Oryzias latipes: one gene and its partners. The main gene of each other region encodes a partner of the protein of the gene in region 2 in a complex. Links are inferred from orthologs where the notes say so. Each region holds a gene or a part of one and is shown on either strand. Other genes may lie near its edges.

Region 1 (4,156 bases), on a different chromosome or scaffold from region 2:
GTTGGAATAAATTGACTAAAGCTAAGAATTTTAATATAGTCGTCTTTTGTGTGCTTTCACTTGTTCAAAAATAAACAATACTGTTAATATTAATAACATTATTTATAGTAAATGTGAAATACTTTGTATTATAAATGTTTATTATGTTGTAGTTCTGCAGCTTTAACTGAGAAAGTAACTTGAAAGTGAAACAGACGTTATGTAATGAACCACAATGATGATACAATAATATTGTAAGATGGGGGATCACTTTTGAATAACAATAACAAGTAACATAATAAAGGTTGGAAGTGAGAAAAGCCAGAATCAGCACATGTCCTAATCTCTGAAATGAAGCCGTGAGAAAAGACACAGAGCTGCAGCCACAGTCCCTCTGATCACCCCTGTGGCAGATGGAGAGCTGTCACCACGCCTCCTCAACAGAGCCCTCAGTGTAAGGTAAAGGAGAAAAGATCATTCTCTCCAGACACACCTCCACACAAACACGCAACTTCATCAGTCCTCTAACACTTGTCCACCTAATATGCACTGATCATCTCTTTCGGTCTTACATAACTCTTGTCCCAGGACACAGACCTCACTCTAGTCAGTACATCATCTCCAGTAACAAGCAGAAAGAAGCTCTTTGTTGGCCCTGACTAATACAAGATTGGTCTGATGGAGATTGATGCAGAGAAAGGGTTCATTTTATTTTTGCAAAACAAATTTTTGTGCACACAAAAAAAAACAAAAATCGAACAAAGAACAAAAGCTCAGAAGCTTTTTTTTATTTTAGATTTTTAAATTAAAAGTGCACTGTGGGTTCCATAAATGTAAATTATTACTACATCATATTGTTATTTACTTATTCCTGTCTTCTCACTGTAAACGACTGGCCCGGGACCAGAGACGCTAATTTAAAATGACAATAAAGATTCCTGATTCCTTATTATTCTAATTTAATCATTGTGTTCATTTTGAAAATATATTTTTCATTATTCTTGCTATTGGGTAGTGATTTTCCAACTTTTTAAAAAAGAAAGAAAAAAGCTGAAATAAGCTTTTTTTTTTTTACTGCAAACTACATTTTAGAGTCCCATTCAATTTCGGATCTACTTCATAAGTTCTGTGGTTAACAGCGACATCTTGTGGTAGTAGACAGATTCTGCAGTCGAAGGTTGAGGCTTAAAAGCGAAAAACATCATTATCCAATCATCGAAAAGAATACTGGTGGAGTGTCGGGAGTAGCCAATGAGCGGCGGTGTTTTTCACAACAGCAATGGGGGTATCCTGCATTGTGGAGCTGTGAAACTAAAAAACAACCACATCTTGCGCTTTAACAAAACGAGAGCAGGTAGATATGAATTAAGTCAATAATGAAACTTTGAGAGGTATGTTCTGGCCTTTTCCGGGGACGATTCTGAGTTTGTTCGCGAAACAAGAGACGTTTAGTTTTTTTCTGTTAGCTAATATTGAGAAGGTATGCTAACAGCGAATCTAACAGCTGCATTGACTTGACCCAGTGTTTATATGTTAAAACGTGTGGCAATTTTGCTATTTTTTTGACATAAGTGAGTTAGCTATTCTCTAACAGATACGTGTGTTCGCTCCTTTCCAGCATGAAGGTGGTTAATTTGAAGCAGGCTATCCTGCAGGCGTGGAAAGAAAGGTGGACAGACTACCAATGGGCTGTCAACATCAAGAAAAACTTTCCAAAGGGAGCAACATGGGACTACCTTAACCTCGCAGGTTGTTGATTGTGATAAACAACGTCGGCGTTTCATCCTATAACATGTATGCATTTAATTTTCATTATTTTCTTTGTGTTTTCCAGAAGCTTTGATGGAGCAGGCAATGATTGGTCCATCCCCTAACCCACTCATCTTATCCTACCTTAAATATGCTATAAGTTCACAGGTTGGAAAGGAACTTTTATTTTGAAAACTGAACACACACATATATATACACATAAATGTGTATATACATAAATGTGTGTATATATATATATTTTTAAATAATGACTGTTAATGTTTCACTTTTCTAGATGGTGTCCTATGCTAGTGTGCTCACAGCCATCAGCAAGGTGTGTTTGATCATAAAAAGGACAGAAGATTCGCATTTAAATGGATCTCTGCTGCATTTGTAACCAATGTGTTTTGTTTATAGTTTGACGATTTCTCGCGGGACCTCTGTGTGAAGTCATTGCTGGACATAATAGACATGTTCTGCTGTCGCCTAAGGTCTGAATACTTCTGAGTAAACACCACTATTCTCTCCTTGTGACTTTCTCTTGTACATTTTTGTTATTTTATTTATTTATTTTTTGGACAGCAAATTTGTCAGGGTTTTAAATCTTCAATCTGCCTCACTTTAACTTGGAATTTTCAACAATTTTTATTGATATGTTTTTTTTTTAATTAAATCTTAACTGATTTACTTGTGTGCCAAGCCTTGTCTTATTGTTATTTCCCCAATACTTCACTTGCATATTGTATTTTATCTTATATTTGTACTATAGCTTTAATTGTTAATACTGTACATTGTTGTCTTCTCACTCAGCTGCCATGGCAAAGCAGAGGAATGCATTGGGTTGTGTCGGGCTTTGCTTGGGGTGGTGGTCTGGCTGCTGCAGGCCTGTGCGTGGTACTGCGAGAACCTGAGAGAGCTCGGACCGGTACCCAGCATAGAGGCTATTCTCAGAACATGTCAGGAGAGGCTTCATACCCTGATGAAAAGCACCAAGAACAGAGCTCTGGTTCATATCGCCCGATTAGAAGATCAAGGTTTGGGAATAAAATATTGAAAGACAATATTGAAATATGAATGTTATGGAAGAGAATGTAGGCATTTGTGCACACAAAGGTTATGGTCTTTGTTTGCATGTTCACCATTTGTAAGGTTTGATGTGAAATTCCTCTTCCAAAGGGTCCTGGAACAATGTGGAGCAAGCAGTGATTAAAGTTACGGAAGGTCTTGGAAATGTACCAAACCAAACATTAAGGACTTCACTGGAAGAAAGTTTGTTTTTAGTAAAAAGGTGAAGGTTCCTCAGCCACTAAGCTCTTACTCAAAAGTGTTTTAAAACATTAAAAAAAGTTAATTTTTCTTGGGATGACTCTTGACTCTCCCCAGTATTCCCAGCATGCTCTCTGTGCAGTGTGAGCTTCCAGTGCGTGCCTCCTTCCCATCAGTTCATGCCTTCATCATGCTGGAGGCAACCATGAATTTAATCGGAGAGATCCAGCCTTTGGTGGAGCAGTTAATGATGATCAAGAGAATGCAGGTGAGCTTGAAATTCATGACAAAATATTTCTATAATTTCTGTGATCTTCAGCCCTAAGTCAGAAATAGTCATATTCTTTTTGCAAATATTTTGCAGGTGAATTACCGGTAGTTTGAACATTGCAATTATGACTATGTAAAATATGTTAATTTGTAAAACTGTATTAAGAATTTACACATTTTTGCTCCTTCATGTTGACATAATCAGACCCTCTGAGCCTGAAGAGAACCATTTTTTCTTAATTTACTGTGCAATTACATTAAATTACATTCATATTTAGCTTTTTTAGCTTTGCTTTATACTGAAGTTTTTTATTTGTAATGAATAATTTACCTGCAAATGAAAGTGTCATCTCTCTATCTATCTAACTATCTATCTATCTATCTATCTATCTATCTATCTATCTATCTATCTATCTATCTATCTATCTATCTATCTCTTTATCTCTCTATCTATGACATAACAGAAAGAAGGTTCATGGTTAAATCATGTACGCTGAGCAAAACAATTATGTAACAAACATATTTGGGGTAAAAGTATTTTAAGCCATTTTTCTTCTAATTTTACCTCACAGTAGCATATTGAGAAAATTTCTCTTTGCAAATTAAAATAATTTGATTACATGAAAATTTAATTTAACCGTTGTTTCACAGTAATGGAACTTGTGTACAAAATGTTAAAAAATATTTATTTGCAACAACACATATCCATGAAAGATTTGCAATAAACTTTACATTAATGACATAATAAAAACAAAAAAGTCAAAAGCGGGGTGGAAAAACATAATATAAACTATGGATCTGAAATTTCTGACAACTTTTCTCCAGATGAAAGAACCAACAGCTGGATCTTTTTACAGTCATTTCTTTTGAATTGACTGCATCATTGCATCTC
Region 2 (3,649 bases):
ATAAAGGATTATCGGCTCCCTCACTAGAACCGTTTTTTGTGGCAGATTTCTCTCTTGGGGGTAAATGTCTGTGGATCCTTCTCTGTCCCTTCTCTGTGCCTTTGTTGCTCTGTTGCTGTTGTGTGATTGGGGTTGTGTAGAATAGACAAAAAGCCACGTTCAGCCTCACAGCTCCTCTTCCTCCTCCTCTTCCTGAGCTGCCAGTCTGCATGCGGGAATGTGTTGCATGCTTGGCGCTGACTCGCTGCTTGGTGTTCTGCTTTCATGGTCCCCGAACTTCTCTTTTGCTGTGCTGTGTCGTTCAATCCCTTTTCAAACGGACCCAACTTTATCTGTATTCACATATTATTATTTGTAATCCTTGGTTATGTTGGGGAAATGCAATCTTTTCTTTGATGAAATCATTTTTCCTGAAAATTTGCCTGCAGACTTTAAAACTCCACAATGTTTGGAAATGTTTCCCAGAATTCTCCACTGCCTTTACCTGAAGTCACCTGTCAAATATTTCTGTTTTACATTCTAACAGTAAAACAGTTTTTAAATTGAAGTTACTTTTTTATACATTAGGGAAATCAAAGGATCCATATGTCTGTGGATGAATAAGTTTAACCAAAATAAAATAAAAGGTAAATAAGAAAGAAAGAGAGGTTTGACTGTAAATATTTGCAAAGCTCCAGGAATCAGTTTTAGATAACTTCAGAACTCCTAATCCCATTTTTGTTTGATGTTTACCTGTTTTATTCCACGACCCCGCCTCCTAATGTCTAATTCTTTTACTTTATTTTATTATTTTGTTACCTGCGTCAGCTCTGCTTCTGTTCTCCCGTTTGTGTTGAAGTTGCTGAGGGCATGAAAAGCTTCCTTTTAGTTTGCTGCATTTGTTGAAAAAGTGGAAAGAACCGGAACAAGGAGGCCCCAAAACAAACCAGAACAGAGCTGAACTGAGAAGACATAGGCAGGAAGGAGACGCAGTCCTGCATGCAAGGGATTGAAATGTTTTTCTGTTTCTAAGTAACACCGGCTGGAGCATGGACTCTATTTGTTGTTTCTTGTTTCTTTTCCACCTGACCTCCTGTCCTCTCCGTTCTTTTACCCTCCTCTCCCAGCAAAAGCAGCGCTGCCCGGTGCTGGAGGAGCAGCTGGTGGACCTGGTAGTGTACGCCATGGAGCGCTCGGAGACCGAGGAGCACTTTGACGCCGACGTCGGGGGGACCAGTCAGCTGCTGTGGCAGCACCTCTCCTCCCAGCTCATCTTCTTCGTGCTGTTTCAGTTTGCCAGCTTTCCTCACATGGTTCTGTCGCTGCACCAGAAGGTTAGCAGGCCGCTGCAGCCACATAAAACCCCTTTGATTCAAATGTCTCACTCATCTTTCACTTGCTCTTTTGGCGTAGCTTGCAGGTAGAGGTCTCATCAAAGGGAGAGATCACCTGATGTGGGTGCTGCTGCAGTTCATATCAGGAAGCATTCAGAAAAACGCTTTGGCCGACTTCCTGCCAGTCATGAAGCTTTTTGACCTACTTTACCCGGAAAAGGAGGTACTTGTGCTCAAAGACGAATCCTGATCTTTTGTGTTTCTATAAATCCTCTCAGATAAAAACGTCTTTTTTGTTATTTTGGATCCGTCTCTGAATTTTGTGGTTGAACTTTTGCAGTGCATTCCTGTGCCCGACATCAACAAGCCCCAGTCGACTCACTCCTTCGCCATGACCTGCATCTGGATCCACCTGAACCGCAAAGCTCAGAGCGACAACTCCAAGCTGCAGATCCCCATTCCACACTCTCTGAAGCTGCACCACGAGTATGCATCTTCACCCGCCTAATGCATCCAAATAAATCAGAAAAAGTGGGTTTATCTACTTGGTGGCAGTGGCTCATGCGGTTGAACAGGTTCTCAAGTGATCGAAGGATCGGCGGTTCCACCCCCGCTCTCCCCGAGTAGACTGTCGTTGTGTCCTTGGGCAAGGCACTTCACCCTCCCTGCCTCCAGTGTGGCTCCACTGGTGTGTGAATGTGTATGAATGTCCCGGTGATGGTCAGAGGGGGCCGCCTCTGTCATCACCAAGTATGAGTGAGGAGTGACTGAATAATGGACACATTGTCTGAGCTTTGATCGTCTGGAAAATCGAATCCATTATTAGTATTTGTTTTTTTTAAAGACAGAATACATAAAAGTGTAATTTTATTGTTGTCAGGCAATTTACTTTTGGAAGGCAGTCGGACTGAATCGTCAAATACCTCAATAGTTGAAAGGGGCCCACCGTTGAGAGAATTTGAAAAAAAAAACTCTTTAAAAATGTGACTTTAATAGAAGTGGACTGCAGACGTCAGAGACTTGGAAGCCTCCACTCATAGATTTACTCAAAAATCCCTTATTTCAAGACACTACAGTGCACAGATTTTTCTGAGGCTTCTTTTACTTTGGAGAACAATGAAAGTTCTTTAGGTTTTAGAGTCTGGCAGTTTTAGTAACCAGTCCTCATGATGTTCGATTACTGTGTTTTTTTTCAGATCTCAGGCCAGTGCAGCCATCCAGCAGTTATATTTGAAATGATTTTATCTGCCTAAATTACCAAAGGTACCAGTTTTTAGTTTTAGGGACCATATCGTCTCCGATTAATCGAGAGTCTATTGATACGTAAAAAAGGATGATGAGCACAGAGACTTCTGTAACACTCCAGCAGTGCCTGAGAAGGGTTTCTTCCATTTATAATAAAGAAAATACTAGAATAGATCTGTTTTTTGTCATGTTCTGATTTATTGAGATGCACCTGTAAATACCTTCATTACTTTTTCTCCTTGGGTCAGCTCAGTGTGATTAAAAGCCCTCCCTTATCCATTTTTTTTAGGTTTTTGCAGCAGTCGCTGCGTAATAAGACCCTGGGCATGTCTGATTATAAGATCGCCCTGCTGTGCAACGCGTACAGCACCAACTCTGAGTGCTTCACCCTGCCCATGGGCGTCCTGGTGGAAACTATTTACGGAAACGCGTCCGTAAGGACCAGTTTGCCAGGCACTAACTGTATGGCATCAGGATCGGTCACCCCCCTTCCCATGAATCTGCTGGACTCCCTGACGGTTCACGCAAAGATGAGGTATGCGGGGGGAAAAAAAACAGACGGGAAGATGTGGAGTGAAGCAAATGTTTCACTGCTGCTGCTTTTGTCTGCTTTCTTGTCTCCAGTCTAATCCACAGCATCGCCACACGCGTGATCAAACTGGCCCACGCCAAGTCCAGCATCGCCCTGGCCCCCGCTCTGGTGGAAACTTACAGCAGACTGCTGGTCTACATGGAGATCGAGTCACTGGGCATCAAAGGATTCATCAGTCAGTCTCTATGGTCCTTTTTTGACTACTTTGACATTTTTTAGAAATGTTTATAGAAAATATATTGTCTCAATGAGCATTTTAAGTAGTGAATAATTACACATTTTACTCAAAAACCCCAATATTTTTGATTTCTAATCATTTTGGGGTGTAAAAAAAGCATTTTGGGTCTTGTTTTTCAGGCCAGTTGTTGCCCAATGTGTTCAAGTCTCATGCGTGGGGAATCCTACACACGCTACTGGAGATGTTTAGCTACAGGATGCACCACATCCAGCCGCACTACCGAGTTCAACTGCTGAGCCATCTGCACAGCCTGGCGGCCGT
Region 3 (3,570 bases), on a different chromosome or scaffold from region 2:
GAAAGAGAAACATGTTAGTAGGGACAGAAGAAACTGGCCTGGTGGTTTCTGTTTGTTGTTGTTGGTTAGTCAGAACTGCCATGTTTCTTGCCTCATTGGTGGGTTTTTATTCATGAACATCTCAATGGCCTTTTCGTCTTCTGGGTCTACAATAATTTCAGCATCACATTCGGTTTCTGCCGCCCCAGAAACTGCTTCTCCCAGTGCGGGCCACTCTTCATCCGAGTCTGCATCCCCAGATTCAGGACCTACAGTTACAGGAGTGTTTAGAACTCACATAATGAAAAGATGCAGATCTAGATGTATGGAATCACCCAACTAACTACAGAAACGAGTAAATGAAAACATTATTACTTCTATTTTTAAGTATTTATTTACTGAAAGTATTTTAATTTGGAGTGTTTACTAAAACCATCATTAGTGAACAGTTAACTTTATTTTTAAGTCATAGCATTAGTGCATCCCTTAGCAAAAAGTAGTCTATTTAAGTAAACTACAAGTATACTGTCTATACTAAAAGTAAAGCAGTAAACTAGAATTTTCTTTTTATATACATTTAAAATTTTCCAATAAAAGTCTGAAAAAGTATTCAGTTACTATATGTCCTACACTACACGTACATGGTCTATACTTGTACACTACTACACACTTATTACTCAAGTATCCTTAAGTAAACTTCAAGTGTACTTGTCTTTGTTAAGGGTAGATGGGTCTGAATTGTGATGAATCTGTGATGCAACTTTACTAAAGTTGGTCATCGTTTTCTTCGGTAAGAAAAACTAGAACAAGAGAGAACCTTTAGAAACCTTAATCAACGGCTTCTGTTTGATCATTTTCTAAACTGAAGCGGATGTCCTGGTTCTGATCCAACATTACCAAGAACAGTGACCGGTGTCGCCTTCTTCTTCTCCGGTACCAGCCCATATTCGGTCTGAAGCTCCTCTTGCTGAATTCGGGCTTGCTGTAGGATTTTCCGCGACAGCCGCTCGTCTACGTAGGTGTCGTCGCTTTCTGGCCGCTGGTCTCTGCTCTTAACCCGGTTGCGGGCTCGGACCGTGTCCGTCTGCAGGATCTGGTCAGCCAGCGCCACGGATCCAGAGCTCTTTTCTCCTCCACCTTTAGATTTCTTCACTTTCGGCATCGCTACAGCTCCAAAAAAATTTACAAGCTAAAGCCTGTCTATGCCTTTTTAGTGTGTAAACACCCAGCTGTTTAGCACGTGCGGACAAACGGCATGCGCGACAGAGGCAGCGGAAATACATTACGTCACATCCGGTTTCATTAAAAATGTTTCGAAACATTATATATGAAAGAACCTATGTTTATTAACTGAGTTAATCAGTTTAACTCAATTCGTCTATGTTCACTTGTATTTTTATTTTATTTTTTCCTTTACCGGAAGTCAATTTGTTTAACCGGAAGTAGTTGCGAAGGAGGCAAAACAAAAATGGGAGTAACTTGGTAAGGAATATTTTGGCTCATTAAAGTGTAATTATTATTTCAACATAGTTTGGTTTCGCTATGTTTATAGGACCTGTCTATTTCAAATGTTTGTTCTTTTGGGGAAAGCGTGCTCCTCCCCTTCATGGATGCGTTGGGTTGTCGCTGCTCAGTCGGGTGTTTTGTCTTTCAGTGTTTGTCAGGTGCCCATAGCGGAGGGCAAGAGTGTGCAGCAGACCGTGGACGTCCTGCAAAAAAAGCTGGAGCAGCTCGGTTCTGTGAAACAAGGCAGCTTCTGCGTGGATTGTGAGACATACCACGCCACGGGAAACGTTGTCGGTAAGCTCGCTACTTTTTCAAGCATCACGCGGGAAACATATTAGTAGTTATTTATTCATGTGGTAATTAGTTGTGGTTGCTTAGACCTTTAAAAAGCAATTAAAAAAAGGTGATTGGCATATGAGCTCCGTTTGTGCCCTTGCATTTAATTGGTAGCATTTTTAACAAGAACATTCAGGGCTTTTGCTAATTCTTCCTTCAGACACATCTGCAGTAAATATGGGACACAATTAAGCATACATAGCCACTTTATCTTATGTGTGTTTGTCAAATTATCTTGAGAATATTTTACAAATTAGATAAGGGTCCTATTAGTTCTACTGGAGTGTGACGACAGATCACCCCTTCAGCTGCACTTTAATGGCTCTGGCCTTTTATGGTAGAAACCATCTCAAAGCCTTACTATAAAACCAAATATTGTTTAAGGTTTTAGACTTTAAAAACCTTTTTTACATCAATAACAGATGTGCCTTTATTTGAATCATGGATGTGGAGTTTATGTATTATTGAGTTGAATGCATCATCCAGTGTTTCCCGTCTGTCACAGGTCAGCCCTCCAAGCTCTTATACGTGATGCATAACTCTGAAACCCCTCTGAGCTGCATGGCCCTATTCGAAGGAGGACCCTACTTAGTAGCTGATGCTAACTTTGACGTCCTCATGTCCAAGTTAAAAAGTCATTTCCAGAACGCCAAGGGACACAAGGTGGAGAGTCGAGGCTCCCGCTACCGATACTGTGACTTTTTGATAAAGGTGGGCACTGTGACGATGAGCTCCAGCGCCAGAGGCATTTCAGTGGAGGTATGGAAATGCAGTTTGTCCCTTTCAGCGGGACGGGTGGACATGATGTGCCCTGTGTGTTTTACTGCAGGTGGAGTACTGCCCCTGTGTGGTTCCTGGGGACTGCTGGAACCTCATGAAGGAGTTCATGCAGTCTTTTCTTGGCACCAGCGTTCCCGAACTTCCATCTGTGTTTGCTGCTAAACCCGAAGGGCTTTTTGCAGCAGCGGACTGTGTTGACACCATGACGCAGTACTTGGAGTTGTTCAACAAACTTCGTAAACTGCAGATCCCAGGGAGTAATGTACGTTAGGTCAGGAAAGCAAACTGGCCTTTTTGTATTTTATTTTCTTTTGGGGGGGGGGGGGGGGGGGGGTTGTATCAAATGCTTGATTATGTTTTTCTGAAACTTTTGAAAACCAACTTCTGGAACATTTATTTTAGGAACTTAGTTGAATGTCTTTGCAATAAAGAAATCAGGTGGAGGTAAGAAACCAGAGCCTTTTTTTAATGTAGCTGATGCATTTTTTAGTTCAGAAAATGTTAGGTGAACTAGAAGGAGCCGCATTTCCAGAAGAAAATTCAGGGTTGAATGCTATATTGTTGAATGAAAATGAACCTTTAAAGGGTAAGAATTGGCACAAAAAAGGAAAGAAATGATCAAAGTTGAACAACAATAAAGTGAAAACAGCACAATAACAAATAGATACGTGTGTGAAAAATGCCAGAGGGATCAAACCAGCGAGCTTCTGCACCAAGGATTCCCCATGGATTTCTATGGAGGCAAAAATCCTGGAATATCTGGAAAAGTTCAAGGATTTGAAGGACTATAAAGCACAAGCCAGTCTCATACTTGATAAATGTCAATGATGCATGATAACTGACCACATTTATTGTTTTAAAACCAAAAAGCTACTATTCCCTTTGCAACACTCCCAACACCAAACAAAGTCATGCAGATGAGCCTCAGTTTAGCGCAGTGACAGTTATGTTAGAGGTTAAAATAAAAAA

What was found.
Region 1: the proteins of med23 (region 2) and med24 are in contact, whole or in part, in a cryo-EM structure (PDB 7EMF), measured with the Homo sapiens proteins. The link is inferred for Oryzias latipes from reciprocal best matches to the Homo sapiens genes MED23 and MED24. Residues at the interface, in NP_004821.2 of Homo sapiens: Asn150, Thr151, Val152, Ser153, Ser154, Glu193, Gly194, Leu196, Pro197, Trp199, Leu201, Gly202, Asn203, Ser206, Asp207, Asp210, Arg213, Tyr258, Asp259, Lys260, Phe263, Ser1133, Arg1139, Ser1176, Glu1180, Glu1182, Trp1183, Val1184, Tyr1186, Arg1189; in NP_055630.2 of Homo sapiens: Lys238, Thr239, Leu280, Leu283, Lys287, Val291, Glu295, Cys336, Glu339, Phe340, Lys343, Leu344, Thr345, Pro346, Leu347, Asp349, Lys350, Gln353, Lys384, Glu720, Lys721, Trp723, Thr756, Arg757, Lys758, Glu759, His760, Met802, Asp803, Pro804.
Region 3: med23 (region 2) and med20 share a complex: the UniProt entries of both Homo sapiens proteins name them as parts of the mediator complex. The link is inferred for Oryzias latipes from reciprocal best matches to the Homo sapiens genes MED23 and MED20.

The regions. Positions count from the first base shown.
Region 1 is NC_019877.2:9,580,083-9,584,238, forward strand, and holds the start of med24 (mediator of RNA polymerase II transcription subunit 24), read left to right. Parts: upstream 1-1,213; 5' UTR 1,214-1,333; intron 1,334-1,339; exon of another isoform or gene 1,340-1,459; intron 1,460-1,597; 5' UTR 1,598-1,598; coding exon 1,599-1,728; intron 1,729-1,813; coding exon 1,814-1,896; intron 1,897-2,023; coding exon 2,024-2,062; intron 2,063-2,145; coding exon 2,146-2,219; intron 2,220-2,538; coding exon 2,539-2,762; intron 2,763-2,904; coding exon 2,905-3,016; intron 3,017-3,111; coding exon 3,112-3,262; intron 3,263-4,156. UniProt on the Homo sapiens protein: Component of the Mediator complex, a coactivator involved in the regulated transcription of nearly all RNA polymerase II-dependent genes.
Region 2 is NC_019882.2:15,911,714-15,915,362, reverse strand, and holds part of med23 (mediator of RNA polymerase II transcription subunit 23), read left to right. Parts: intron 1-1,106; coding exon 1,107-1,313; intron 1,314-1,392; coding exon 1,393-1,536; intron 1,537-1,653; coding exon 1,654-1,799; intron 1,800-2,847; coding exon 2,848-3,093; intron 3,094-3,182; coding exon 3,183-3,325; intron 3,326-3,507; coding exon 3,508-3,649. UniProt on the Homo sapiens protein: Required for transcriptional activation subsequent to the assembly of the pre-initiation complex. Component of the Mediator complex, a coactivator involved in the regulated transcription of nearly all RNA polymerase II-dependent genes.
Region 3 is NC_019863.2:2,278,234-2,281,803, forward strand, and holds med20 (mediator of RNA polymerase II transcription subunit 20), read left to right. Parts: upstream 1-1,337; 5' UTR 1,338-1,447; coding exon 1,448-1,461; intron 1,462-1,633; coding exon 1,634-1,779; intron 1,780-2,326; coding exon 2,327-2,580; intron 2,581-2,650; coding exon 2,651-2,872; 3' UTR 2,873-2,927; downstream 2,928-3,570. Other genes in the region: bysl (bystin), read right to left, coding at 92-248, 877-1,141. UniProt on the Homo sapiens protein: Component of the Mediator complex, a coactivator involved in the regulated transcription of nearly all RNA polymerase II-dependent genes.